Linked DNA regions of Lepisosteus oculatus. The protein of the gene in region 3 binds, or shares a complex with, the protein of the main gene of each other region. Links are inferred from orthologs where the notes say so. Each region holds a gene or a part of one and is shown on either strand. Other genes may lie near its edges. The genes, in order: anks4b, cdhr2, ush1c and myo7aa.

The links.
Region 1: ush1c (region 3) and anks4b share a complex: the UniProt entries of both Homo sapiens proteins name them as parts of the IMAC/intermicrovillar adhesion complex. The link is inferred for Lepisosteus oculatus from reciprocal best matches to the Homo sapiens genes USH1C and ANKS4B.
Region 2: ush1c (region 3) and cdhr2 share a complex: the UniProt entries of both Homo sapiens proteins name them as parts of the IMAC/intermicrovillar adhesion complex. The link is inferred for Lepisosteus oculatus from reciprocal best matches to the Homo sapiens genes USH1C and CDHR2.
Region 4: the proteins of ush1c (region 3) and myo7aa are in contact, whole or in part, in a crystal structure (PDB 5MV9), measured with the Homo sapiens proteins. The link is inferred for Lepisosteus oculatus from reciprocal best matches to the Homo sapiens genes USH1C and MYO7A. Residues at the interface, in NP_001284693.1 of Homo sapiens: Glu450, Pro456, Ile457, Val461, Val462, Ser463, Tyr466, Glu467, Lys479, Gly480, Pro522, Tyr526, Asp527, Asp528, Glu529, Leu530, Thr531, Phe532, Phe533; in NP_000251.3 of Homo sapiens: Phe1946, Val1953, Ala1976, Lys1995, Lys1996, Trp1998, Gln2017, Pro2020, Lys2021, Arg2024, Tyr2026, Ser2112, Ala2113, Phe2114, Phe2115, Glu2116, Val2117, Lys2118, Ile2128, Ser2161, Gly2163, Asn2164, Thr2165, Tyr2166, His2168, Leu2181, Glu2183, Thr2184, Ser2185, Leu2186.

Annotation. Positions count from the first base shown.
Region 1 is NC_090714.1:16,471,657-16,479,364, reverse strand, and holds the start of anks4b (ankyrin repeat and SAM domain-containing protein 4B), read right to left. Parts: upstream 3,009-7,708; 5' UTR 2,749-3,008; coding exon 2,405-2,748; intron 1-2,404. Other genes in the region: slc25a17l (peroxisomal membrane protein PMP34), read left to right, coding at 4,757-4,885, 5,313-5,373, 5,813-5,879, 6,160-6,314, 6,447-6,563, 6,692-6,837, 7,209-7,304. UniProt on the Homo sapiens protein: As part of the intermicrovillar adhesion complex/IMAC plays a role in epithelial brush border differentiation, controlling microvilli organization and length. Plays a role in assembly of the complex.
Region 2 is NC_090706.1:37,321,705-37,329,428, forward strand, and holds the start of cdhr2 (cadherin-related family member 2), read right to left. Parts: upstream 3,009-7,724; 5' UTR 2,876-3,008; intron 2,243-2,875; 5' UTR 2,072-2,242; intron 35-2,071; 5' UTR 12-34; coding exon 1-11. UniProt on the Homo sapiens protein: Intermicrovillar adhesion molecule that forms, via its extracellular domain, calcium-dependent heterophilic complexes with CDHR5 on adjacent microvilli. Thereby, controls the packing of microvilli at the apical membrane of epithelial cells.
Region 3 is NC_090716.1:12,309,456-12,317,039, reverse strand, and holds the start of ush1c (harmonin), read right to left. Parts: upstream 3,004-7,584; 5' UTR 2,893-3,003; coding exon 2,815-2,892; intron 2,639-2,814; coding exon 2,571-2,638; intron 596-2,570; coding exon 452-595; intron 1-451. UniProt on the Homo sapiens protein: Anchoring/scaffolding protein that is a part of the functional network formed by USH1C, USH1G, CDH23 and MYO7A that mediates mechanotransduction in cochlear hair cells. Required for normal development and maintenance of cochlear hair cell bundles.
Region 4 is NC_090700.1:10,071,369-10,078,420, forward strand, and holds the start of myo7aa (unconventional myosin-VIIa), read right to left. Parts: upstream 3,020-7,052; 5' UTR 2,810-3,019; intron 1-2,809. UniProt on the Homo sapiens protein: Myosins are actin-based motor molecules with ATPase activity. Unconventional myosins serve in intracellular movements. Their highly divergent tails bind to membranous compartments, which are then moved relative to actin filaments.

The DNA.
Region 1 (7,708 bases), on a different chromosome or scaffold from region 3:
AAAGCAATTGATTATCCTACTGATTTTCCAATGGAAACAGCTTTTATCACGGTAAGGAGATCAGGGTTGTTACAGTATGTTTGCATGTGACAACCGCCGAATACTTAACTGGTGAGGTATTAAGAATAAAGTCCTCATGTATATTATCTACTGGCTTGTAAAATGCCCGCTAGGTGATAGTCGCTTAGCAACTACACAAATGTCTGTGTGAGTCCTGCCATGGACAGGTGTCCCATCCAGGGCGTATCCTGATTTGCGACCAGTGCTTCCTGGGATAGGCTCTGGGCCAGCGTGACCCTGAACTGGCCTTCATTGAAATTGATGATGATGATGATGGTGATGATAGTGATGATTCTTGTTAACTATGTTTTGGAAAGACACATCAACAAACTGACAACTTTTTCCAATTTTAAAGAGAAGAATAAAAACATAAAATAAAGTAATTAGCTGTTACACATCATTTATTGTTCTTTCACCCTCATTACATTAATGTTCACTAAAATACTTTTTAAACAATGTAAGATCTTTTCTGTTATAATGACTAAAATTCTCTCTGGCTCTCTCCTGCTACAGTGTGAACACATGCGATTGAAAAGCTGCAGAGTAAAGTCTCAAACCTCTCTGAACTGAAAGAGCCCTTTGTGTTGTTTGAGCATTATTCTGTTTTGCTTGATTAGATCTCTGGCATCATTCAGCTCCTAAAAAGCTTCAGCTCCCAAAAAGCTTTGCAAGTGACGCAAACTGGGGCGAGAGTTTTTAAACGATATTTCACGATACAAACGCAGCAAAAAAAAAAGCCATTGTAAAATATGTCAAGGCTTCAACAGGCTGATGTGGTCCTGCAACAAAATCCCAGGAGAAAAGTATGTTTGTTGAAATGATATTCTGTTGTTTCAGAAAAAAACGATGTTTGATCACTTTGCCCGTGTGATTAAAAAGCTGCACTGATAACTGCTGAAAGCTGTTATATACAGCAGGTGATAATCTCACAGCAACCTTTGATACCTGCCCGTGGTGTCCTTTCGCGTTTCTCAAGCTTTGACAAACCCACAAGTACAAGTGACACCGGCTGCACGGTCCCCAGATCAGTTCCCCCACGCGTTCACTGGTCTGGGCCTCACGAGAGCCGCGTGCGGCTGTACCATCGCCACCTTCCCAGAGATCAGTGGATTCCCTGGGAGAAAGCGCGAGGAAGGAAGAGCCCAGCTCTTGTCTTGGGGTCCGGATTGCTTGACCTGCTGTTGGAAGTTCCGGGTGTTTGGAGACTGAACTGAGTGGAGTTGAAAACTGGAGGAACTGGTGAACAAAAAGAAAAACCGTGCAATGCAAAAACAAAGAGCTCAGCTGACCTTGCTAGCTAAGTGTCTAGAACTCTCTGTGGTGACGTTATGTCTGTGTTAGAGCACTGAGGAAGTGTCTTCTTGCAGGGTATAAAGGTCTCATCCCATGAAGAGACTTTGCAGGTATGTGCAATACCACCCACCCCACCCACCTTTGAGGAAGCCGACGTGAGCAACTCCGTTCTGTTTTTGTTCTGCCTTCTGTTTGTAGGCTTTTGTTTCTGAGTGTATTCCCTTTTTTTTCATTAAAATGGGAAGCGCTTGTTTACAGCACTTGGGGGAGGCTGGTTTGATGGTCGCTGATCGCAGTATAACTCCGGCATCATTCTTGTCGGGTCGTTTGGCGAACGGAAAATGAAAGCACCAGCTACACGATGTTCAAGGCGTTTAAATTAACGTTAAGTCACTCGCGCCATCCGCTTTCTGATCGAAAAACTCTTTCAGCACCTGCTGAGATACCGTTAGATTGAAGTCAAACAGATCAAAGAGATCACAGGCGGAAGAGATCGATGAAGGGGAAACCGGCCGATATAATATTGTAAAGTATCCCGTAATAATATCCTGTACATCGTTAAGACGCTGTGCGACAAAATCAACGTCCGAATACATACGGAATATTTTAGAGAACATTAAAAAGTAAGGAGGGGGTGAATATAAGTACATTTGACATATTATTGAAGCATAAGTAGGAGGAAAAATACCATTTATGTGATCTCTATTTGCTGGAGAACAGAATTCACATCGTGAATATTTTTAATTAAAAAAATCTCTTGATGGATTTTTTTTTGTTTTTGAGAAAACTAAAAGCTTTTTGACACTACGCAAAAGGGAAAAAAAAGTTAAAACTACGTTGTATTCATACATGGAAATGGGACTTTCAAGCATTTTGCACACAAAATATTAGTTTAAAAAAATAAGGGTAGGTTTTGCCATTCGTGGTCTACAGAAGTGTACTTTTTAATCCTGTCTGTCCTCTACGGTCAGGTTTTCTCTGGGGTTTCGCCCCGGTGAGTCGCCTCACCGGCCGCTCGACGAAACGGATGCCGGCTCCTCGCCTTACTCACCCCCTGCTGCAGATCAGCTGCAGCGCCTCGAGATGTCCGTGGAAAGCCGCCCAGAGGGTCGGGGTCATGCCGTCCTCATCCGGGGTGTTCAGATCCTTCCTGGTACCCTCTTTCAGCAGGTCCAGATAGCCATCGATGGCCGCTTTATGGTACCTCGTAGACATGATGACCGGTGCCGCTCCTCTCTCTTTCTCAGCTTGATGGCGAGACCTCGGGACACAGACCAGCGCCTCTACCGCAGGACGCCTCGCATGATCGCCCCCGCCAGCCTGGAAAACAAGAGTCTCTTCAACACCAAGGGCTGAAGATAAAGGCCGAGTCGCCACCTCCACCTGCTGGGCCATAAATCGCAGGCAAAGTCCATCTCTCCTGGCTCGGTGTGCATTGAAGGTGGCGCAAATGGGGAGACGCCAGTTTGTACGGCGAGGACTTCATCGATCCGCTCTTTGCGGTGTGTTACAAGAAGGAGAATGAAATTCACCCTCTCCCTCCTCTTCGACAAAAATCAAAATATAATTGTATCACATATCGAGACATGGAGTGACTTGATCTGTGTTATATCCAAGGAGACATTACAATAAAATAAGATATCTATTTTGTTTCTTTGACTAAAGTCACTTTTTGAACGAGAAAAACTAAAAAAATAATTTAATAATGTTCTAGTTAAGGCTGTAACTACATATGACTTAATAAGGCTTGTTTTCTAACATGTATATGTTAGAAATAATAGGTTTAGTCCGTGCCGAAAACAAATTCCACACCTGAATAGGAATAAACCTATTACTTGTTCCTTTCCAGCCTACGCATGGTGACACAGCTACCCACCTGAACTATGTTAGAAATATATACATATTACTTAATACCGTACGTCTTAATAACCCATGATTCAACTATGCACACAGTCATATCTTTCATAACAACAAAATTGCTGTATGGGTTTTAAAATTCTATTTTAAATATATTAATAGTTGAGTTGAACAGGCTCGCCCTGAAATAAGTAGCTGCTGTAATTAAGATGATGCGCCTCCGCTCCGACACGCACGCAGATCTGGAACCAGGGGGTCTTAATTCCTCCGGGTTGTGGGAACAGTTTGTTCTGTCTGCTCAATGTGCTCATTAAAGACGTGAGGTCAAAGGAGGAGCTCTTTTCGGTAGGTCAGTTAATTCTCTTGTTATTATTGTACCACTCCTACAGATGAGCCTACAGTGCCGCCATTGTTACACTGTCGGCTAGCCGAGATCATTGTAGGATTACACCGTTAAGAGCCTGGCTTTAACACAACGGAAAACATTGCTATTCACGAAATACTTTTATTTCGCAATCAACGAGTCGCCCTACAGCAATATAAAAGCAAACTACACAATGGTGCAATAGACATAAGTAATAAAGTTACCCACAACAAAATATAATTCGTGCAACATGAATTCAGCACCAACCAACCCCTTTAGACAGTACTAGTATCTCCATTAGTATGGAAGACAGTGGAAGTGAAATGATCTAGGGTAAACCAAAGTTTCTTTAAAAAAAACTCCCAAAACGAAATATTTAAAATTTTCTTTTGACAAACGCAAAAAAAAAGAGCAGGGGATATTAAACATAAAGAGATTTGACGGAGCTGATTCTAATTAAAATATTCGCCGCGAATTCGGCTCCTCTTGTTTTTTTCTTCCGCCGAGCCAGTCGTGGCTAGTGAGGTGTGAATTCTTCAGCCCTTACTTGTGGAAAAGCCGGCCCTGTCTGGGCTCCCTCGCCTGCCTGCGGGACAGCCCGGGCCCGAATCAGTACCGGGACTCTCCTCTGGGGGGCGCTCGCTAAAACCCACGTGACTCGAGGCTGCCCGCAGAAACCCAGACAGACCCGCACCCTCAAAAGACCCCAAGAAAACCCCTTAACAGCACCCCAATACCTCGCCTAATGGCTCACCCTGATGTTCCCAACCTACACTACTTGTCTGACTTTTTTTTTTAAGTTGCATGTTTTTTTTTTAACTTCTTGTTGTTGTTGTTGCTGCAGCTGTTCTGTGTTTCTGTTTCTGTTGATTTCTTTTACTGCCTTTGTATCGGAGCCTAAGTGCAAATAAGCATTTCACTGCGCTGGGGCAGGTGACAACTAAACTGAACGGAACTCGCGCAAACCCGCTGCCTCCTGCTCAGTTTCTCCTGGACTCCCGCAAGTCGGACCCGAAACACCTGTATGTCGGGGATCCCTCCCCCCTCCTCCCCGCCCTACAGGACACAGAGAGCCATCTCCGGCGTAGCTCCTCCTCTGCACGCAGGAGGAAGCGAGGAGGGAGGGCCGTTTGCCGCAGTCAGCCCGGGAGCGGAGAGGAGTTGGAGCCGGTGGTGTTATACATGCGCCCTGGCCAGGACCGCGCCGAGATGTCGCCCCCGCCTCAGCAGGAGGAAATGTCGGAGCCCCCGGTGGCCGCCGTCGGCCTGCTGTCTTATGAGACCCTCGTACACGCCGTCGCTGGGGCTGTGGTAGGAGACTCGGGGCAAACTGGACGAGCTGAGCTCGGATTTCAGGGTCTCAACGCGTCTTTATGTACTTTTCACTTCAACGCCATCGCGCTGGTGCCAGAAGTCTCGGAAAGTCATGTTTTAGTGCGAGTTTTTATCTGACCGGCGCCTAGCTGCGGGTTCTGTATCCGGTCTGCGGACCGAGACAGAGCCCCGGCCAGCGTGCTTCACGGTAACACAAAATACAAACTACCGCATTGCTAAATACGTCAACGCAGATGACAAGCGTCTCATTGCAAAAAGTAACCGTGCCAAGGTCTGATCGTTCAGGACCTTTTTTTCTTTCTTCTTTCCGCCCCCGAGCGGAAAAAGCCCCGTCGAGGGGCGGGTTGAAAGTGCGGGCTGTTCCGTGTCGGCGCTAACCCCCCGCCGCTCCGTGCCTCCGCAGGGCAGCGCGACGGCCATGAGCGTGTTCTTCCCGCTGGACACGGCCAGGATCCGGCTGCAAGGTGAGACGGGCAGGGGTACCAGCAACGCTTTCGGTTCAGACCAAACTCTTGACCAGCACAAGACCCAGACCCGCCGCGGGACAGCTGCACTGTGCTGCAGGTGCCCCGTGATCACATGACCTCCTGACCTCATGAACCTGGGTCTAACTGGGCACAGCGCCCACTGGGGCCATGTCTGTTCTGTTTGAGGGCAGTGTTTATTTTGCTTTGTTCTCGTTATTGTTCTGAAAGGGTTAAAAGGCGGCTCTGATGTTAACTGAGGGTGATTTTTTATTAAAAACAATTTGACTTCGGGAGGGTGAAAGAATGGGCACTGTGTCGGTCTTTATTCGAAGAGTCCCCCAGCGCTGAGGCTCTGCTCTGAGCTCTGAGGGACTGCACACTGATGGTCAAGTTCCGGCCGCCGCGGTGACGGTTTTGTGTGGCTGGTCACTTTCAGTGGACGAGCACCGGAAGTCCAGGTCCACTCCCGTCATCCTGGCCGAGATCGCGAAGGAGGAGGGGGTGTAAGTACAGCCGGGGTCGGCGTCCGGGGCGGCTGGGGGGGGGTCTCGTGACGAGCCGGACCTGCCGCAGGGCGCATGGTCCCCTGCCTCCCCCAGGGGGAGGAGGCGCTAGTGAGCAGCTGCTGCGCTCTGGCCAGGGACTGCGTTTGCCCACAGCAGCGCAGGTCGGCCATGGCGGAGAGGGTAGTTGGTCGGGGGCCGCTTTGTCGCGGCTCGGGGGGGCCTGAGCCGCCGCGGATGTGTGACGCCTGGGAGCGGGCTTTCCCTCTTCTTCCTGCAGCCCGGCTCTGTATCGCGGCTGGTTTCCCGTGATCTCCAGCCTCTGCTGCTCCAACTTCGTGTATTTCTACACCTTCAACACCCTGAAGGCCCTGTGGGCGCTGGAGAGGGGCCGGTCCCGGCCGGGCAGAGACCTGCTCATGGGCTTCATCTCGGGTGAGAGGGCGCCGCCCACAGTCTAGACAGAACTCGCGTGAGCCGAGAAGAGGTTGTACTGAAGCCAACGTGTGAGGCGTTGGTTTCTGCAGGCTGAACTCCCAGCCCGGCTGAGCTCACGGTGTCTTTCAGGGGCCGTCAATGTCCTCCTGACTACCCCCATGTGGGTCGTCAACACCAGGCTGAAGCTGCAGGGAGCCAGGTTCAGGAACGAGGAGCTTCAGCAGACTCACTATAAGGGCATTTTCGGTGAGCCACCCTGTCAGACCACGCCGCGTGTTGCCTTGGCTTTTAAAGCTGGGCCTGACATGAGACCACATGAGTCAACTCCTGTCCTGCAGGCACTGCGTAACACAGCCCCCCCCCTGTCTCTCTAGATGCCTTCTCCCAGATCGCAGCCCGGGAGGGGCTGGGGGCCCTGTGGAACGGCACGCTGCCCTCCCTCCTCCTGGTCTTCAACCCCGCGGTGCAGTTCATGTTCTACGAAGCGATGAAGAGGAGGGCCGGCCGCGGCCGCAGGAAGGTGAGAGGGCCCCTCGCCCGCCCCTGTCAGCTGCAGGCCCTGCCACTCGATCCCGAGCCCCAGGCCCGACGGGGAAAGAGCGGGAGCTTTGATCCACTTGGGAACGCAGCTGGTATGAAGACGAGGGTGAGGACCAGCCACGGTCCCTGGGAGCCTAGCAGCTGCTGGTATGTTTAGCTCCCGTGATCTCGGAGCCACTTCATCGAAGGGCAGTTCCAGGGCCCCAAAACAAAATCAGGGTTTTAAGGAGGGCAGCCACAAAGCCGGCGGGACTGAGGGCCACCCTCGTGTGTGACCTCTCCATTTCCAGATGCCCCTGCCGGGCGGTAAGCTGCGAACACGGCTTGAGTGTGTTTCTCCTCCCCCTTCAGATCTCATCGCTGGAGATCTTCCTCATGGGAGCCCTCGCCAAAGCCATCGCAACCACCGCAACGTACCCGCTGCAGACCGTGCAGGCCATACTGAGGGTAAACAATCGCCTGCTTGTCGCTCTTTGTGTGGACCGTCCTCCAGATGGCTCCGGGAGGAATTCTGAGGGAGAGGGCATCTGGTTTCTAAGTGACAGAGAGAAAGCCGAAGCAAAACGCAGACGAAACCCTTTTAAGCTCTCGAGGTTTGGAGAACGAGAGAGGGCACGGGGGTATAGAGCACACCAAAATAATTGGGGACTTTTTTTTTTAAATGTACACCTAATAATATACTTTTTCCTCTTCCTTGTCCTGCTTGGCTCAGAGAAGCCTGTGTCCATTTCATTTTTAAAAGTAAAGTAAATTTAAAGATAAATAAGGGCGTGACCTGATAGTAAGATGGACGCAGATTCTGTGCACCTTCTCCTGGTCAAAGATGTGGCATTTCAGGTCCGTCTCGCTCT
Region 2 (7,724 bases), on a different chromosome or scaffold from region 3:
AGGCTCATCATCTTTATGGTTTCTGCCAGGAAGACTGCAAGCACACAACACAACAGGGACTGTTGTTAGAAACGAGGTAAAGCATTCACATAAATAAAGCTTTGGGAGAGTGTTACATATGTTTGACTTGTACGTGTACTCTAAAATTAGAGACAGTGGCTGGACTGAAATGAATTAAAGCTCTAAGTTACATTTAAATCCCTTCCATCTCCATCTCCAGGTTTACTCAACAAAATTAATCTTGTAAGTGTAACAGAGGGAAACCCCCTACAACCTGTTGCAGGAACCACAGGCACAGAAACACAATGGTGGTTCCTCACCTGTTTACTGCAGATTGTAAACAGCACAGTGTTAGACTTTTTTCAAAGTAAGGGTAAAACAATTGTATTCCTTTATAAATGTTCATTGGAAAAGCATCAAGTTTAAGTTTACATTTTTTGCTTTCTCAATGCCAAGAAACTGACTGCTGCGCTATACTGTACAAGAAACATGTTCAAAATCTTAAAAAGCCTGGCAATCAACCACCCACAATTTCTTGATTTCAAAATGTCGGTTTTAAACCTTCACCAACGTCATACACTGATTTCAGAATTTAAGAACTGAAGGCCCATTCTGTACTGAGGAAGGATCACTCACAGACTGATGACAGAACAACATTGTCTTGTGTACAGACTGCAGAATTTTAGCACTAAAGGATTGAGATATGGTTTATAATTATTTATAATTATTACTATATACTGTATACCTCTTCTGTATATAGTTCTTCTATTGCTTAAAAATATATTTTGTTTTCCATATTAAGAACACCCAACCTCCCATCTTGATTGACTATAGTTCATTATTTGAAGATAACAATTTTCCTTTTTACTACATTTGTCCTACAGAGTCTTTTACAGAGACTTATCTTTTATTCATTGATTTAGAATTGCATCAGGTACACCAAATTCCTTTACAAAATACCAGGAAAGAGAAACCCCAAGTAGTAACCTTTCCAACGGAAGAAAGGCTCAATAAAAACTACAAAAAGCAACCACAAAACAATTCATAAGAGATGCTAGGAAATAAGATGTTTAAATACTGGATTTTTAACAGGTTCTCTGTGATCAAATGTCTCACAACCACCTACAGTATATACCATGACCTTGTGATGGCCTTAGTGATTGCTACTGCTTAAATACAAAAGGAGGGAGAAACCACGTTTTCAGTACCAGTGGTTTTAAGGATCTAGTTTAAAAATATGCTGGTGCTAATTCCACTTCACTTGTCACTCTGATGCTGGGTGATCCCATTGAGCAATTAAAAGATTTGCTGGTGTGTTAATTAACAAATCCCATTAGACTGGAAAATATAGTGGCACCTTAAGGCAAAGCACAATGTCTAAGGTTTTGTCTGTTTTCACTAGATTTAGGGTTGTCGCTGTTATCAAGAATGAGATCGTGCAATTTGTAATAGTGTGAAAGTGAATCCTACAAATTAGTTGCGTGTTTTGAAGAATATATTGTATATTCTTATAGCTTTTCTCAGATTTCTATCGTCTATGGTACACTACTATGCAATCATTAAAACGTTTCCTTGATTTTTTTGTAAGTTATTAATTGAGTGAGACAAGTTGTGAGCTTTTCCTTTTACTCAGAACAAAATTTGGACTTCAAAGTCCTCTCCCAACCCTCTGGTTCCTACAGATTTCTCATCTCTTCTTCTTTCCAAGAAAGTAATATTGATCATCAATTGATGTATTCAATTGGAAACAGATACTGGACTGAGAAGAATGAGCACTTTAGAAATCTTTGACAAAACAATAGATATCATATCATATTTAATTAGAATCTGTTGTATTGGATTAAATGATTTATTAAATGATATTGTATTCCTGATATCTGTAACATGGAGACCAAATATGTAGGTAGTTAGTTGATATCATACTCACAATTTATTTAAAAATTTAAATGTACAAAACAATATAACAATAAAGAAAAATTTAAAAAGCTTTGCATTACAAACCTAAGAGCAGGTAGACCAAATAAAACTTTTTTTTGTAAAACATCAAAAGTATACAAAAGCTTGAATTTACCTTGGACGACAACTCCTCTCAATGTCACTTCTTGGGTGTGTTCCTCTCAATGTAGGGAAAGAAGACTGAAACAGACCTTTGCCTTCTTTAAAAGTAATTAACAGCTTTGGAGATTATGGACGCCTGGCTGTAAATGTGAATCATTTACAGTGAGTGGTACTGCCTTGTCTCCTTAAAAACACAGCAACAGAATTTGTACAGTACCTCCTATTAACAAGATAAATCTCTCTTGTGGCTGCATCAGCTGCAAAAATAAAGCATTTAAAATGTTACTGTACCAAAATGTTAATTAGGTAAAATGCTTGTCCCCTCAGAAAACTTTAAGTGTAATCTTCCATGTGAAATCAAAATGTCATTTGGCCTTGTGCTTTTCAGTCTAACTTCGTAAAGCTGAATTATAGCACATACTGTCAATTACAACTTATTTTCATCCATGGTGAAAAAATTAACAACAGATTAAATTATGGATATTGTTCCTCTCATTCCCTTTTTTAGGTTGTAAATACAAGCAGTTTTTTATAATACTGATTGTGTGTTAAAATTCATGTTAAAAGATTCAGCCATTGAGAGCCACTGAAATAACGTTGTTAGAGGCAACATCACTTGCTTAAAATGACCAACTGTCATATTGCCACTCAGCGTCGTTGGTAATCCTGCAAATGTATACTTTAACCCTTAAACTGATTTGCAAGCAAAATAACCTGTTTGCTAGCAGAACCCCCAGCAGTGCCATGTTTAGTTAATGTTTCTTTTAGGCCCACCTGTAGAGTCTGACACATATTTCCCAATGTGAATGACTCATACCTATGTGCAAGATTTTAAATCAAAATCCCATCTGGCATTCTTCAATGAAGTTAATAAAATGCATGAGGAGAGAACTACTCTGCGATTTTCTGTACCAATGAATGAACACTAAACTCTCCAATCACCAAAGATCCTTCCCACTCGCTCACAAAGGCACTAACGAGCTGCTCCTTATTATAAGCCCCCACCAGTCACTCCTTGTAATTATCCTGATGCAGACAAAGGATAATCCATTGAAGTGTTTTTTTTTATCATTAATAAACAAAAAGAAACCTCAGTGGCCTACATTTAGGCTTATTCATTAAAACAAAGAAGGCCATTGTGTTTCCCTTTTCAGTCTTAATTAGGAGAAGTTCAGTCATCTGAACTGAAACCCATTTAGCTCATTCAGACAAATAAAACCTGTCTGGAAATTTGATATGATCTTTTTTAGTCTCCTTAACCGGTCCTTTCCTTCGGACTTTGACAAGGCCAAGTTAGCCAAATTTGTCTTTGTTCAGAAAAAGATACTGTTTTAGGTTTGAGTGCTCCTTAGCCTTCACCCATCAAAGACAAACTGTGAGATGCTGAAAATAAAATTAATGCCAAATAATCACTGTTACATATACGGAATAATAAAAGACATTAATAATGCAACATGTTGAGTATTATTGTAACTTCTTAAAATGTTTTGTAGATCACACTGCAGCTAATGGGCCTAATGGTCTCCTGTCATTTGTAACCATTTTTCTGCTCTTATGTTTAGAGATGTCTAAATTGTCCTTCATGTCAGTTGAAAGCAGAGTATGTGACACCTGGGTTGATACACTTTTAGTGGAACTAAATAAAGTTAAAAGAGAGTCACTGAGGGAATCAAAACTGTCAGGTAGAACTTATGTACTGTAAGAAATTGACTTTTCTTATCACTTTATTTTGAACTATGGTTTTATAGCGTGTCATTCACATTCACATGTATATACCTACAAAGCTTTTCTGTTTTGGGTGGAGCCTGGCAGGCAGCAAACAGTATCAATATTCAAACGTCATATGCATCATATACAAACCTGTGTATTCAGAGATCAAAGTGCAATCTAAATCATCATATCCAAGGTTTATGACTTTTACGGGAGTACTTTATTTAAAAAAAAAAAACAATTTAACTTGATATGTATTTATAGGATATTATTACTGAAGAAATTCAGACCACAGCAAAATGTTAAGATTGAGGAATATGACGTCTACAGCAAAGAGGATTAGCCCAACTGTATATTGGCAAGCTGAGACAAACTGATGCTTCAGAAATAATAATGACCCAGTTATGTCATACACAAAGCCTTCTGAAAACTCAAAACATCTTTTTTTTCTGCGTTGACCTGTTTTATTGCTGCTCGCAGTAAATCTATAGAGACCTTTCTTTCCTTGCCTTTATTTCCTCCTTGCACTTAAATTTCCTTCTGATACATTTGGGAAGATGGCTACTTACAAGGTATTGGGCTGCGTTTTGTTTCAATGTACTAAACGAAACAAATTGCAATCACATTATTAAATAATACAAAAAATGTTTTACTTTTTGCTCAACTGCTGTATCATTTAACAACCTGCCATCATAACATGTCGGCGACCTGTACATTACCATAGTCATAGTCAAAAGGAAAGAAACCCCTCCATTTGCTTAATTGCTTTCTTGTTCAGGAGCTGTCAAGCACCCAGTCCAATCCAGTCTAATTAGCCAGTGCACAGCTGCATGGTGTCTAAATATTCATCCTGTATTTCCCATTTGTTTCAATTTTCACGACAAATTTCATATTCAAAAGAAAAATTTAAAACAGACGCTTTATGTATTTGTGGCTTGTGGGACATTTGTTGGCACTGTTACCCTTGAAAACACATGGGGGCATCTTTGAGTAGTGTTTAGATCTCTGGACTGTCACTGGGAGAGTGTCCCTGCTAGTTCTTGTAGATACTGCTTCTGTCTTCTTGATAAAAGTACTTTACTGTAATTTCTCTTGTTCCCCAAACTGTAAAAATAGGTGTAATTGCACCAGTGGAAGTGATCCTGTGATGGATTAGTGTCCCTTCTAAGGGGGAATCATCTCTTGGTCTGTTTAACACTTCAGAAGCTGGGATAACGTCTAACATGCTGAGCCTCTACACTCAAATATGGATTCTACCTACTGGGTAAAAGCAAGAATACTGAAGAACCACCTAAGCAAATACTACGCTTAACCCTAATCCTTATGTTACAACTAATAACGAATGTACTGTGTAAATACACAGCTGGTTCCTGTAGTATTAACTATAGTGACATAAAATATTATGGGATCTACTCTGACAAATTTCATAAATAGTTCCATTTTGTCAAAAATCGCATTTTCAAGTTTCCACATTTCCCAGACAGTTTCAGTGGTTGACCCATATTTAAAATGCCATGAAAGCCGTAATCTGTCACCACATTGTTCCAAGTCTGAGCTACCCGCTAACTCTGAGCTCCTTACAGTATTCGGAAATTACAAAACCATCTTTTAGTGAAAAGATAGTGTCGCCCTGGAATCAGTCCAGAACAGAACACCCAAGAAAAGAGGACTTAAAGGAATGCCCTACACTGTCTGCCAGACGCAGAGAAATAAATCTCTTGAGTCTCGAACAGAGAAAACTACAAGGAGACCTCACTCAAGTGTTCAAAGGCACTGTCAAGGGCAACTTAATGGGTTTCCTCTGATTCAGCAGCGAATCCCAAACCAGAAGGCACGTGGAAAGTACAAGGGTGTACATTTAAAACCAAGCACAGGAGCTGCTTACCATGCAAAGTGTTACTGGGGAATGGAACAAGCTATACAGCCATGTTGTTGACGCTCATACTCCGTCATCTTTAATGGAGGAAGGTGCTGGAGATACTCAGTTTAATTAGCTACTAGCTAACCACTAAGCCAAATGCCTTCCACCTATCTGTAACATCTCTTACATTTTTCCTATTCCTGCATCTTGAAAAAAAATCCAGTCAAAGTGCTAGTGACAAGAATGATGTGACAGGTAATGATATTTGTCTTCTCTTTGTTCAGGCTGTGTAATCTTTATCATGTCAAAAATTATCACATTTCATGGCAACTCACAGAAATAATGTGTACTCAAATAAACACACTGCTATAGGTTCTTTTATATGTCTCTCAGAGAGCCACATACAATAACTCTTTATAAACAGGACAACACTTCAAAAACAACCTTACACTGCTGAATTACTACTAGACTAGACAAATCGTTTGTGCTTTGTTTTGTTTTTTTGCCATAACCAAAAGTAGTTGATCTTTTTAGCGTTTTAATTTCAGTTTCTTGTTTAAGGATAAACCTGTTATCATAAAAATGCTTCAAATGATACCGTTTGTGCTTGTGCGTCTCACATAGTTATCAAAGTTCAACCATAACTTGTCATTTTTATTGCAGGCTTATTTATCAGTGTTACCTCCATGCAATAGAGATAAACTTGTGTGCAGGTCCATTGGATCGTGATGAAAACCACGTGACTATGTCGTAGCACACTGATAGAGACGAATAGTGGTGGAAGATTAGAAATGGCAGGGTGGTGCTCTCCTCAAGCATGGACTAACTTCATCGTGGCAAGCCAGCTGAAATCACAGTTGCCTTTACCCACCTGTCTGGGCCCTTTTCAGATGTCCTTTCTCCTCTGCAATACTCTACACCAATGGATTGGTTGCAGTTATTAGCGTTGAACACAGTGAAAATCCCCAGTGCCGCTTGAACTAGTTCAGCAGTAGAAAGATATATCAGTATATTTATATCCGAGTCCAAAAAAAAAATATATAAAAAAATATTTACGCAACATTTACAGCACAGAGAAGTTACAATAGACTAAACGGTATTTGTTGCGTTTGCACTGCCCCCTGGTGGGCACTATTTTAATAGCGTATGACAGCATTTTAATTTGAATACAAGGAATACGTAAACATTTCGAAGACGAGAAATTTTAACTTTCAAAAGCAAAGCAAATGCAATTAAAAGTTAGGAATATATATGTACATATGTACGTAGGCATTCTACCTCTGTTTAAAAGAACAGTGTCGTTTCTGAAATTTCAGACACGTCATATTGTTTGGTAAGATGATAAGCCGGTTCATTTCGGCATACATACAAAACGAAGTAATTTTATTTGCGTTTGCAAGAAATAAACAAAATAGAAATACAAAAAAAAACAACTTTGCCTCTGTTTGACTTGTAAAACACTATGCAATGCATTCGCATAGCTTTTAAATGAACATTAATTGGATGATTGATACAGTGTTGGACTGGCCTGAGCTAAGAGAGACATATAAACTAAATAAAAATACATTTCAGCGAGATTATATAATTTTCAAAAAGTCTATTCAAATTCTATTTTTGGCTATATCATCATTATTCCTATACTGTTACCACACTGCGGTTCTACTATAGATACTGTACTATACAGTCCTCAAAATGTGATGAGTGACCACCTCGTTTTCCCTGTTGTCACCAAACAGGTATAATCGTGAAATAACTGAAAGGTGAATGAAAGAGCCGAGACCACCTTCCTGTACACACCGATTCCTGTGTGCCAGTCAAGTCTGATGACATCATCAGGTGGCCAACAAGAAGTACTCGCTTTTTGAGTCGAGGCCAGACTCCTCCTGAGCACCTCTGTAAACCTCTGTCGCAAAAAGCATCAGGTGATTTCATCGACTTTTGTCTTATTTTGGAAGTGCTGAATTTGAAACATATTATTATAGGTGCAATTTCAGTCCCGTTGATCGACTCCTGGCTGTTAAGACTGGCGCCGGCTCCTGAAGGGTGTGTGGATTTTTAGCTGTATGTGCTGCCACCCAGTGGCCAGAATAATTAA
Region 3 (7,584 bases):
TTTGCATTTTAAACCTAATAATGTACTATACAGTACATTCAAAATATAGCTGCCTTTCAACTTTTCAACTTAGTCAGTTGTTTTCTCTTTTGCTAACACAGAAATACTTTCTTCTTTCAGGAGTAATCCTATCCATTTCACTGTATAATGTTAAAGTAAACAGATACAGTTGCTTATGTTATTTTTATATGTTCATTAAATTGTGTTTCTTTTGCTTACAAATAGAATCTCATGGGCCAGTTTCTTTTTCAACCTCAATCACAAAAACTCTGTCTCACTGCTAAACTCATTCCATTACATTTAGATGTGGATCAGTGAATCTGAAAACCAGCAATTCAGTTAAAATGGGATTATATATCAAACTCTTTTTTTTTCTTTTCTACATTTCTTCCAAGCTTGGCCCATCTGTTTTACAGCATCGTTACATGGGCATCTGCAGAAGCCTGCTCACCTTGACCGTTTAGGGGTGAGCTGGTCATACTCCACCTGGTGCTTCAGGGGGATGAGAGGTCGAATGGAGTCAAAAAGAGGCAGGCGGCTTGGCTCACTAATGACCAGCTTTAGATCACCAACCAAGACAGGGAGGTCCATAGATCTGGGAAAGAAAAGATGAAGGGCTACCAGAACAAAGAGCTTTAACATCAGCCCAGCAATGGCAGGGGTACAGCTGTATATCTCGAGCTCAACAATAAATGTCTCCTTTTGACAACTTACTCTGTGTCAAACAGCCTTTAAGGCTCGAGGCCTGAGAACACTGATGAAATAGAACATTTAGAAAATGTGAGAAATTATGAATTAAAATACTCCCTGGAACCATCCGAATGACTAAACGTGGTTGATTTATTCAATCAGACAAGCCAGCTGAGAACAAATTCTCATTTACCACAGCAACCTTGAGAGCATGCATTTATACAGCAGCTTTTTTACTGGAGCAATCTGAGTCAAGCACTAGTTCAAGGATACCATCGCAGTAACCCCCTGACACACCTACCCATTTCAGTCAATAGCCTTAATGACTCCTGCTCCTATCAAACGGTACAATACTGTGACATGTGATGTGTAATGTATATTGACTTTAACATTGAAACATCATGTACTGTACAATTAAAAATATATCTGCCACCCCGACTTTCAAGCAACGAGATAATGAAAATTATCTGAAAACCTCTTGGAAATGTTTATACAATGGATAACCAAATCTACTTAAAAAACTTGTTGCAATTAACACAAATAAATGTAAATGTAAAAAGCTGTTTTGCTCTGTGGTAGTTTCATAATATATTTTGGGACATCTCCGTGAGGTTGTCATTTTAAAAAAAATGTATATTATGCACTTTCTTATAACTAAGAGGCACTGTAACAAAATAATGCCTTCTGACACAATTAAGTATTAATTCTCCATTACTAAACAGGTCCTAAAAATTAAAATAGGTCAAAGGAAAATGACTGCACCATACCGACATCTACAGTATATCAAATCCAGTTAAGCAAAGATATTAAATGTGGAAAATTAGCTTATTAAAACAATGACAACAGTTCTAAAAGTGAAGAATACTTTTGGATAATAAAAAATCTCAGTGAACTTAAAATTGCCTGAATACATTAGCTCATGCTTAAATTAGTGCCTTATTTTCTGTAATACTGTATACTGTACACGATGACAACCACTGGATAGGAGGTACTTTGCAGATCTCTATAAATCATGTTATGGTTCACTTAAAAGTTCTCCACAGCTGCTGAGCATAAAGGTACCAGCAAGTTCCTGAAGCACTGTAGTAAACTATACCTCATAAAAACTGCTCTGGCATTGTATGACAGCTGTTTATGAATTTAGCAACCTGGTGGAGTCTTTAAATTATTAACCATAGCTATTTCATTTCTGACGCACAAGCAAAAGCGAATATGAATAGAGGTTCAATTGGACAGGGAGTGAAAGAGAACTGGATACATATCCAGTGAGAAACAAAACTGTTCCTCCTTACAAAGATCACATGGAAACTTCTGCAACATCTACATTTCACTCCATTCAGCTGCTATTATTACACAACTCAGTGGAAACAATACCTCCCACTGCGGAATTCTTTTGTCAGTATTCCTCAGACAAATCTTGACAGAATATACCGTATAAGCACATCTGCTGAAGTTTAGTTATTAAAGTGTATGAAATCGATTCAGTCTTTTTAAATGCAAAATGTGCAGTGTGGATAAGCAGAGTGTCTCACTGAAATCAAAAGATGAACTAACATTACTAAGCTATGCAGTAATGATAAAAGTACAATCATTTATACATAAAATAAACATTTTACTTGATGTGAGAAATGTTCTGCATTTCATAACATGCTGGGATTTTAAGAGACCTGCATTTCATGCATCACATTTAAATAACTTTCCTGTTTCCAGCACAAATGGAAAGAAAACTTATTATTCATGGGTAAAATATTAATAGTGTGATACAGTACTATAAGTCTACATTGAGAATATTAACAAAATATCTTAAAAATATTGTATAAATAGTAGTGGGTAAAATGGACAATATCAGAAGAAAATAGCCAAGAAAAAACAGGACTCACTGGTGGTACATCCGCAGCACATCGTAAAGGTAATCCTTTTCAGCTTCATTGTCAATAAGCAATTCCACCTACAAAGTAAAGCAACCACACAATGATAACATTGTTTTAACATGCTGATAATATACATATTCAGAACTGACTTGATGAACGTCTTTAGAGAGCATACAAAAGGATTTCAACAAAAATGAAAAACGGATCCCACATACGGCATTGCAGAAAGTCATGCGTTTATATAGTCCCTTACCTGGTAACGGCTGAACTGCTGGACAAATATTTTCAAAAACCTTTTCGGCCATTCATTAATGTAGCACATTCCTCCCATCCAGAATCAGTGTAGCTGCTTGTGTAAAGTGATCACTGGCTCAAGAGCAGTGCTACAGTTATCCAGAGGGTATTGTTGTCTACAATAAGTTCCCGGGGCAGATCGCTTTCTCTGCTCAGCCTGCAGCCTTCATCTGGCTCAGTACTAGTAGCCACTTCTATGCGTGGTAATGGGAGGTTCAGCTGGAGCAGTGTCACTTTACAACACATTCAACTACAGCCTCCTTTCCACAGGCCCTGCAGTACAGTATATAAAGAGGCCTTTTCTCCCGACTCTATTAGTAACCCAAAAAGGTCTGATTTCTGTCGCATTTGGAAATAAACTTTCCTTCAGATTAAGTTTGTTTTGATCAAAGAAACTGCTTTAATATGAATTTTAAGAATATCTAATATTATTCATTAAAATTATTAGGCGCTTTGTAGGTGATGCAATTCATGCACCGCTGAAAAGAAGCTTCTGCCTGGGACAGCAGATCCAGACAAGGAAAGAAAAATGTTGTCACCAAAGGGCTAAACTTTAAGAAGGCCAGATTGTGAAAGTCCAGAGTAGTCAGGACACTGGGGTTAATTAAAAAGCTCACTCATATAAACACTATCATGCAATCTGACCAAGTAAGCAGGGCCTTGGTTTAACGTCTCGTCTAAAAGATGAAACCACCTCCAACATTATCCCAGGTCATGAGGCACTGGTTTAGGCCAATCACAGGCTCTAGACTGTGGACAACCCTGCCACTCCAAAACACCCGGGTCTCTAACGGGAGAGTTCTCCATGCCATCAGTGATCAGCGTGACTCCACTCTGCTCCTGCCGGGATCTGATCACAACTGCTAGTGACCCAGAACCACACAGCCAGAGGAGACTTCTGCTCCTGTGGAGCTGTAGAATGCAGTGGACTTCAACACCAGGTCCTCTTCTGTCACAGAGTCTTACCCTGTCTAGCTTTCAGAAGGGGGTGATGTCACTTCTGTCACTGACTCAGTGCATGAGCCCTGTTACACCAGCACAGACTGACAGCACTGTGACTGGAGTTGGTACTCTGGTATCTGTGATGGTGGTGTCCTGACAACTACCCCTTTCTCTTTGTAACTTTACAAATTACAGACAGATGCAACTTTGTCCGCTTTGGGACAGCTCATCAAGAAGTAACACTAATAGACCCTATTGTCAACAACAGCTACTGCCCTACCTGCCTTTCTTTAAGCTTCCTCATGCAAGCATAAATAATATTCCTCCCATGATATTTAAAAACCTTTTCAACACATTTTCAAGGTGCATGTTCAGTCAGTGTTAGAGCCCCTTCCTTTCTGAGAATACAGTCTTGCAGCATTGCAAAGTACAAAAGTGGATTGCAAATATTCCTAACTGAATCATCTGCAGCACACAATGCACTGTGTCTAAATTTAGATTTCAACCTGAGTTGTATTAAAATGGAGCCTTTACTATGTAATTAAAGATGATGTGTGCAAAATGGCAGCTATACCGCTGAGTAGGTAGAAACATTCATACGTCTCGTAACTCATTATTGCACAATTCATACCACCCCAAAGACTTTGATACTTGAAAGCCATAAAACTTGCCATACTGATAGTGAAATACCAGCAAACTATGACGTAAAAAATGGACATTAAATAAACAGAAGCTAAAAATAAAAATTGAAAATAGCACTTAAGTACATATTCCAATTTGTGTTAAATAAGAGCACCAGAGAAGATTTAAAACGGCATATCTAAAAGTGACATTTTCTGTATATATTTAAAGTCTGTAAACACTGTTAAATGAGTGATATTGAACATAATGGCACAACATGTGAAAACAATTTACATTTTCATGTTAGTTCATCCTCACTATATGGGAACACGGTTGAAAGAGTTTAGCCACAGTAGTAGCAGCAAACACGTGAGATGGATCAAATGGCCTCCTCTGGTTTGTAATCTTCTCAGGTGAGATGACAGAAGAAGAGCGAGTTTAAACATCTTTGTAATCCTCTCCTTCAAGAAGGATTATTTCCCCTTTTTTGCAAATGAGCATAATGCGTAGCACAAAACAAAACAGTTTGGGAATATTTCCTCTTGAGTGCCATTTTTCAGAAAGTACAGCCTTCAGAAAAACCAGAAACGGCATTTCAAGCACAATCAGGAGTGACAAATTAGATAAAAGGTCAACCGAGCTCTGTTGATTCAAAGCCAAGTGTCCTTTATTATGCAGCGTTCTCCCCCTTTGATGTCATTCTAATTTAATCAACAGTAAATCAGCAAAGAATGTTTCTGCCTCACTGAACATATTTGGTAGCATCTATAAATTATGTGCTGAAGAGCACAGCTTTATGGGGTCGCAATTTAGCGACTAAGGCACAGTGAGTCTTTTTTATATGGAAGAACCTACCCCTACCCATGGTGCAACTTTCATATCATGTGGCGTGTCAGATATTTGATGTTTTTTTGTTCGTTTTTAACGTTATAAATTATGATCCTTAGCAACATGATGTTTTATAGACCATGTGTTGTACTGTATGTGTACAGATGCTACCAGTTAACTGTTTTCCACATCTGAGCATCTGGACTTGTGTATTATTTAGTGTTTTTGACAATAACTTTTAGAAATTCACATTGTAGCATCGTTCCTAAACCCAATCAATCACAGATGTAGGCCTAGAAACTGCGAGAGTTTATCACGTTTTCTGAAGTGCAGCCTACTGTATTGATTAGTATTTGCATAGTAATCCCATTCTTGCTCCTGTTTTGAAACACAATACTGTATCAAATGAACTATAATTTATAAATTCCGTCCAACAAAAAGCAAATTAAAAATAGTAAATACAAGTTATTTCGATACACTCCACTACACTCCATTAGCTGCGCTACACATTTTCTCAGCTAAGAGTAACAATTACCGCAACTGTTAGAATTCATAATAATAAAAACATTCAAGAAATAAAATAAATTAAGTAAGTAAATAAGTTAGTAAACGTACATAACTGCCACGTACAACGCCCTTCCCCCATGTACATGGTTAATTGATAGGGGTCAGAGTACATATAGTACATGTCTTTTGTCATCTTGGCGTTTTTTTTTTAAAAGACTGTTTTACATGTACTGTACATGTCTTGATACACACGTCTCATCCCAAGCCCCCGCGTTTCCTACCTTATGCCTGAATTCGCGAGCAACTTTTCGCTCCATGGTTGTGCGCAACACCGGGCTCCTGTCCGCGCTGCCGGCTCTGCCGAGCTCGTTAGTGCTGCTCCTCTGCGGCTGTCTGTCCGGCGCTGGGAGGAGCGGAGCGCTCAAGGCGCTTCCCTGTTCCTTTCAATACAAGGCTGGAAAGACGCAGGTACAGCTACCTGCTGCGCATAGACCGCTCCGGTGTGAATACCGGCCGGTCTCCTCGTACAAATACTCTCAACAAACCGCTTCCTTCCGTTTTGTAGTTTGTGTATACTGTATCCAGCATTTGTTTTTAAAAATCACTATATTTTAGGAATAAATACTTTCGGGGAAGAATGAATACTGTTTCACGAATGCGCTCTCCACTGGATTGACATCTCTTTCCGAACTGGTACAATATAATGTACCCGAGTTCTTACTACGCCCTATTAAGATACCTCTGGTCGACAATATTTCTGAAACATAATTAATTTGTGAATAAGAATTACAAATAAACGGTGAAAAAATATTTAACATGGCTTACGGTATTAATGTTAACGTAACAAGAATAAGGGGTTAACTACGATGATGATAGTTATCTATTTTATAAGCATACATTAATCTCTGAAATGAAGTCTTTTACTTTTAAACATGTATCCCTTCTGGAAATAAGTGCCCTATATATAGTATATATAGCTTTAACAAATAAACATTTTTTCAATGTGAAGGGAAACAGGTGAGTGTTAACTCAGATCTCCGCTAGGTGGCGACCTACTTACTTATTCAATCCCCTATTCCCAAACAGGTTTGTGTGGAATTGTGAAGGTATCTTAAAAATTTAACATCTCACCTTTTTGATTCAGTTTTGTTTTTGTAAAGTACAATGAACAGAAAAATCTCCTTTTGTTTTTTAACGGATTCGGATTTAAACTGTGAAAGTAGACCACAAGCTTGGTCTATAATAATTTTTCAAATGCATTTTAATTATTTTGTAGTTTACGTTTACACTTCTCAGTCTTAAAACAATCGAGGCACAAAACCTTCAAATGAAAAGGAGAATAAAAGTCAACTCTGGTATAACGGATAATTTAAGTCAAAACAGGAGAGGCTTAAATCAGACCGTTCTCTGGGCAAGGAGTCTGAACAGCAAGTAATATTCTATTTCCTCCGAAATGCGTTTTTAATAAGCTGTTTCAAGCAGAACTTAATGACTAAAGACGGACATACGCATTTTATACATTTTAAGACAGACTTCTGACATAGGTTAACATTACGGTAGTTTGCTCATTTGCATGGCCTCTGATACCTGCCTGAATAAATTATGTTAATTAGTGCCTGTCGTCATTCTTTAAGCAGGAGTAGGGATGCTCTCAGATCTGAAACAGAAGAGAAAGTCCACCTGAAAAACAAACTTCTACATTATCATAGAAAAATGTGTCTCCTTTACAGCTAAACTACTTTTTTTAATCTGGCTTTTCTTGGAGAAATTGATTCCATCAACACCTGGTGCATATGAAGCACGGATGGATTCTAAATTAAGTTTCACCATA
Region 4 (7,052 bases), on a different chromosome or scaffold from region 3:
TGAGGTCAAAACCTTGTATTCACCAATATCGCTGCTAATTCATTAAAAAATATATATCTATCTAAATAGGTTGTGATGTCACCATATACAAGCATATTGATTTTCAAAACTGTGTGACATAATGTAAAATTAAATTCAACTGGAGACTTCTGCAACACTATTTCCAGTGACTGGTATGAGCAAATGAATGAAAAAAGATGATGTGTTACATTTGTGGGGGGAAAAAATATCATATCAGCATATGAGAAAACTGGAAACTGGAAACTCTAGTCTAGAAGATTCTAAGCCTTGCTGCTGAAATGCTTTGGAGGGCACAAGAAACAATCTGTTCAACACATCACTTCTAGCCTGCCACAGTGCAGTAAAGTATGAAGTATGATAAAGTGAGCAGTGCAAATCATTATAAATACACAGCAGGCATACAAGGGATGAGATGATAAGAACAAATCAGTTATAACAAGCTGTTAACTGAGGGAAGACACTGTGTACCGGGCACCCTGAATATTGTCTGTGGCAGCTACACATTTTACCATGAATATTTAAATACCTAATTACAGCAGGAGGGGCATGAAACAATAAAACATGAGAGCTGCATCTGGAAAGTTGATATTGCCTTGCCATTCTCTTCCTGTAGGTCTGGTCAGGCAGATAACCACAGACCTGAGTTGGGATGTCAAGGGGGATAATCATTTCACTTTGTTCTTCGGCTTCCGAAAGTTACTGTTGCGGATGATTTGACCCTCGTCATCTCACAAAATTGTTCTACCTACATGACTTACTTGCAATTCATACTACGTATGGTCTACTAGTACTACACAACTACTAGTAAACCTGGTTATAGCTGATATAAGAGTTTAGCATAAAAAGCCTTCATAGAGCACAGCTGGTTAGGCCGGTTCAGTGTACTGTCCTCATACTGTACATATCAAAATGAGTGACAATGGACCAAAATGTGAGCATGCATTGACCATCATTGCAGCTGTAGATTGAAAACGCCAACTTTATATAACCTTTGCTGCTACAATACACCCTACCAACTCTATAAAATGATTTATTAAATAACACTAAGTCATGCCCCCATGTGTGTTAGCAATCCATATGTGGCAATCCTATTAGCCCCTAAGATCACAGCCTCTAAAATTCTTTCAGTTTGCTGATTAATAATGTCTATCACATGCTTTTGAGGAGGGAAGCAGACAAAATTATATGCACCCCAAAAAAGTCATAATAATGCCAATCTGTGTTCTCAGCAATGGTATTTCATATTGCGAATATGCAACATTAATAAAACTACAGTACCAATCACAGCCCTTACAGAAGATGTTTCAGATACTGGAATTAAAAGTTGCAGGTGCATCTAATACTTATGCTCTTTTGCAGAGCAATGCCTTTTATATCCTTGTGTGCCTTGCTGAGACCAAGTGTGAGCTGCTTATCAACTGCACTCCAGGTCAGAGAGGTACAATAGAAGACACCTTGTAAGGCCTGGGAATCAAAGTGGCTCATTTTAAAGACAAGTCCTTGCAATGGACGAATCACCAGCCTGCCTTATAAAGTCAGAAAAATCCTGTCCACAAGAATGTGCAGCTTACAACACAAAACCCAGCAGGAGCTGCGTGTCAGCAATGTAGTTAGTATTCATAACAGACATGTTTCCCTCAACAAATTTCCTGCATATAATGATTTCAGGGCAGCCTGTGTATCACTGGTTATTGAAGGCTGGTTCCGAGGCAACTGTAAATTATGGAAAAATTAAAAGTGGGGATGAAGAACACAGTTTAGTAAGGAGCTCTGTTGGTTTGCTTTCACTTCACTTATTAGATTACAATGCAAAAAAAGTGTGGAACATAAGTTAATCATTACTACAGCTCGGTAATGGCTTAAGGAAAAAATGTAAATATCTTTGAACCTCCACAGTACTAGAATCTATCGTCTGCTGTAACTGCATGTCAGCTCAGTTTTGGCATCCATTAAGACTATCAATGCAATGTGTTACATCATGGTTTCTTAGGGACAGATCTCAGACTGGATTTACCCCTGAAAATCCAATTGAAAAAGTTATGAAACACAGGTTATAGAGTGATACTACAAAAACAAACCAGCATTAGTTATGTATAAGGTTATGTAACTGTCTGCTGTTCAAGACTATTTAAGTCTGTGTCACAATCGGTGAACAGAGTCTGAACTTTAAAACAATGTGCTCATCCTCTAGACTAGCTAGAATTCTTACAAACACTGACATAAAATGCCCTTCTCGTGTCTTGTCTCACTCTTTCAGTTCACTGCTCCTGTAGATTTATTGTATCTTGTCAAAGGATATGCCATTAATGAATGACCAATAAGGTCAAGTGCTTAATCTCTCTGGCACTAATAACAACAAGAAAGAAGTATCAGTGTGCCATTTCACCAGCTTCAAAAAAGTCTTCATTTTAGGGCGTGTGGTAGCTTTTTGTTTGCTAAAAAAAGTATAATTTTCTAAGTGTGCATTAGAATTTTATTTCTACAGATTTGTCATTTGGCAGCCATCACTAAACTAGTTTCCTTCTGTTAAAATGTTTGCATTAAAAACTCAGGTTCATCTAATACAACTCAGGATACAGATTGTTTTACCTCAAAATTCAATATATATTGTGTGCTAACTCTTGACGATCTAGAAAGCTCTCCTAAAAAGTCTGTCTCTTTTATTAAAGTGGCCCATTACCGTCTGGTTCCAGCTATGCTGCAGGGGAAAAAATGTTAGCTCTAAGAAGCTTTAAATAAACCCTTAAGAAACCAACAGCGCAGTTAAGCTCTGGATCCCTTTGCTTACCTTTTAACCAACCAGGAATCCTGCTCTTTCTGCTCCACTTTATTCCACAGGAAAATAGTCCAGAGCAGGGACAAGTGAGGCACCAGTTGGTGGTGTAGGTGACTGAAACGCAAAACTCTCTTTCAAGTTGACTGACGCACCTGCTGAAAACCGGAGTTGCCGTGTAGAGTATGTGTGCTGTTGGAGGGATTAGGCAGCAGTGCTGCTTTCATTCACAGACACTGATCCCTCTCACAGCAGGGAGGGAGGGCTTAGGGCAAACGGCTGGTCATCAAGGAGGGAGGAGGCAAACCAAGCCCTAAAGGAGAGCTTCAACACCATGGGCTTTGGAGAAGTAACCAGAACACTGTTACTGCCCATCTCCCTCCCTGCAGATCCTGTTCTCATTGTGGTGGTCCGTTCAAGTTGGGTTAGATTTGATTTTTAGGGAAAATTCCCTGTCATGATCCACCATTTCTCACAGCAGATTAACCCTTCAAGGGGACCTGGGGAAAAAGAGGCATTTGATCAACAGTAGTTCAGGTGGGTAGCAGCGTCAGCATGCGTAGGCTGCAAAGGAACAAGTAATGGGTTTATTCCATGCTGAAAAAAAGAAGAAAGAAAACAACGTTTCGGCCATGGAACCTTCTTCAGGTGTGAGCTCAGACGTCCTCAGCACTTCTTCTTGTACTTAGTGCAAGGTCTAAAACATAAAGTGCATATTTGCTCTCATTGATCAATCATACACATGGATTATCCTTGAGAGAACAAGATAGTAACATTCAGAATGCTGGTTTGAAAGTCCCAGCCTGAAAAAGTTAGAATACCTCTTAATGCAAAGTAATACAGTGATTATTTGTCAGATATTTTAAGTAACTGACATAGACAGAACTAAGTTTTCCCTGTAAAGGTGTATGAAATTGTAACTATTAATATTCAGTAAAAATAACCTTTAAGAGACTGTCTCAATGTCACGCTGGAGAAAACACAAGCACTTTGTAACATTTCACAGTTGCACTGTTTGCAGTTAATAGCTATTTTATGTCAATTATCTTTACTGTGTTGGAAAGCAAATTGTCTAATATTCCACACAAGTAAACCAAAAATCAACAATAATACATTTGTTTAACATAACACTCTTAATACTCAGCAAACTACTGTACGTTTTCAACAAAGTTATGTTATTTTATTACAAAGCTGCATTGTACCTATTTTTCAGTAACAGTGTAGCTTTCCCCACATAAATCCTGAGGAGCATCTTTTATTTGAGTCTTATTCTACCGTCATGCAATTAAAGATTCTCTTAATGTCAAAATAAAAAAAAATACTTAGATTCAACACTGCAGCAAATTAGATTTTCAATTCAGTTCAATAAGAAATATTTATGATAGATGCACAATTTATTTTAAGATGAATGCCAGAAACCTTCTCTAAAGCCACAAATCAAGAAGCTATACTGCTTATTTAATCTTTGAAGAGAAATCTATTGCTTGATATATCCCAAACTGTTCTTCTTCACAATGCGAGATTAATAACATTGTTTATGTGGTGCTGGCCCTTTATATGGAATCACCGTTGCCTTAAGAAAGCTTCAAAAGTAAAAGTAACTTTTCCATCCACATCAGGTATAACCTGACTTCACAGTGAATTTATGTTTGTAATCCACGCTAATAGTTCATAAAATGGAGGATTAAAAACCAATGTTTCAAAAATTGTTCCCTTAAAGATTCCTACAATTTCTTTCATTTGTATTATACCTGCCATCACGAAGGATCTTATAGTTCTTTACACACAGGATGGGAACCACTTCTTTCTAGATCTAGGTGATATACAGTAGCTGTGACATTCTGACAGCCACATTGCTTAATAGGTCTTATAGTGAAGTTAAAAATTACTTCAACATTTGAATTGAATTGAGGGGCAACCTTAATTAAGCCAGTGGTAAACTCCGTGTAATCAAGCACCATTTCTCTTACAAATATGAGTAACTTACCGTGCGCAGTGTCCCTAGTCATGATACTAGGGCACTGGTATGGCTAGTCTGGTCCAGATGGAAGAGCGCCACCTACTGGTCCACCTACAAAACATACTGCAGCAACATGGCTTTCCCTAAAGGCCTCTCATCCCAGGAACTGCTGGCCAACCGAGCTAAGCTTCTGAGATATTACTGCCATGGACCACTTTGCTGTTGGTGGATTTAAAACGGAGAGAAAAACCAAATGTGCAATTATCACATGCGAGCTCGAATTCCCCTCTCCTTGCCTTTCTTTCTTCATTCAAAGAAGACAAGAAAAAGTTCAGGTGTTCCATCCATTAATTGGTTAGCAAACTGGTTTCAAACTGTTAATTTGCTCCACCGATATGACAATAAATCATCTGCTCACAGCAGTCTAAATCTGCACAGTCCATAACAAAAAGTAGAAATTTATTGCTGTTGTCGTCAGCTCTGAGGCAAAGCAGCTTTCGTTTTTAACAAAGCCACATTCTAACCCCACAATAGTTCTCTGCTTTTCAACAATACACTACCCACAGAAAACTAAAACAATCTCTAAATACTGTAGCCATCTTAACAAAAAACGCTGGTAGAACCGAATAATAAAACAATAAAAGCTCTTTAATTTTATTTCAAATTCATGCCATAAATTGACATAAAATACAAAAACAAAATCCATAAAGTGTTATAAAATAACCACAGTAACACCCCAGTTAGGAATTGACAAGAAACAAGGAAAACATCCTGAAGCACAGACATTGTTAAGCAAAAAGCTTTTTAACAACATTAGACATTTTTTAAATCAATATTCAGCACAGAAATACAAAAGATGTAACAGAAAAGTAGAAAATATTAAAAAAATATTCATAAAAATCTTGCAGTGTCCGGTATAGAAGTTATCATGCAACACATTTGCAAGATTCAAGTCAGATTATGCAAAACAAGAGCTGGGTCTCTGCAATTGGCTGATTTTATTGACTAAATTTCACAGTTTTACACAGAATGAAAAGATGGTCTATATGACTACTATTTGAAATGTTGTCTATTTCTGTGGTTTGCATAAACTGTTAAGTACACGATTGCTGGAAAATGACACAAAGGAATGTGCAGAAAGCCGATAATTAGGAAAGGATTTAATTTACACTATAATATCAAAGGTAATTCTGAAAGGTGCATATATGGTCACGTGTATGCTGAAAAACACTAATAATTGGCAATATTTTAAGCAAAGTGACTAACATGTTACAATCAGGTAGGTGAAAGAAGCTCCTTCTTCTGTTCCATGCATGATTTTTTAAAAATTCCTTTTATATCGGATGCCGGTTTCAGACTAGGACACACATAATTCAGAAAACAAATACACTTATTGTAAATATGTTATACTCAGTCATATATGACTTATAAAGCTACTACACAGTTCTCAGATCTACCAGCAGTAGGTCAGAGAAAAAATGTAGCAGTATTAAAGAAGTACATATCATTATGCATTTTACATCATACAGTATATAGAGCAGAGCTATGTCAGTCTTTTTAAGTGTAAACAAAAATACTTTGTAATAATTTGCTCATGAGTTTTCTCCTCAGATCTAAAGCTTTAAGAGCACAAGTTAGCATCTTTTGCCACTGGGACAATCCACGCACTGTACTTGGAATATTTGTATTTTTAGCTTTATTCACATTAAAAGAAAACCCATCTGAACAAAGTGCATGAGGACTACAAGGAATAAAACTGTTACACCAAAATCAAAATGGACGAACACTGCCCGAAATATCCTTGTTAAGCCCGTGTGTGCCTAGTCGTTTTTAAAAATATTCATCTATAAACATATGCTTCATTGTAATATCGGTAAAACCTAAAATTGAATGACTAACAAAAGCTGTTTAAAGGAGAGTGCTCTAGAAACCTGGGGTTTGGAGCAGGGAGACTACAGTATGTTGGGGGCACTTGGTGGAAAACAAAGTTTGGTCTCTAGAAACCCAAGACTTAAGTCCCTTTACAGCACAGTACTTCACCCCAATTTCTGGCAGCCAATCCACAGTTGTAAAAATGGGTACCAGCATTGCTGGGGAGTAACGCTACAATGGACTGAAGTCCCAACAAACTCACAACCTGCTGAACGCTTTGGAATCAGGAATAAACTCTGGTTTAATGAGCTTCTATACAAACACCCCTGGTCTGTGTACAGCAAGTGAACAATTACCTTGGACTGCAAAACAGTCCACCAACTATGTATGGAGAGCTTCCCATATAAATATCTAAAATAGAGGGCT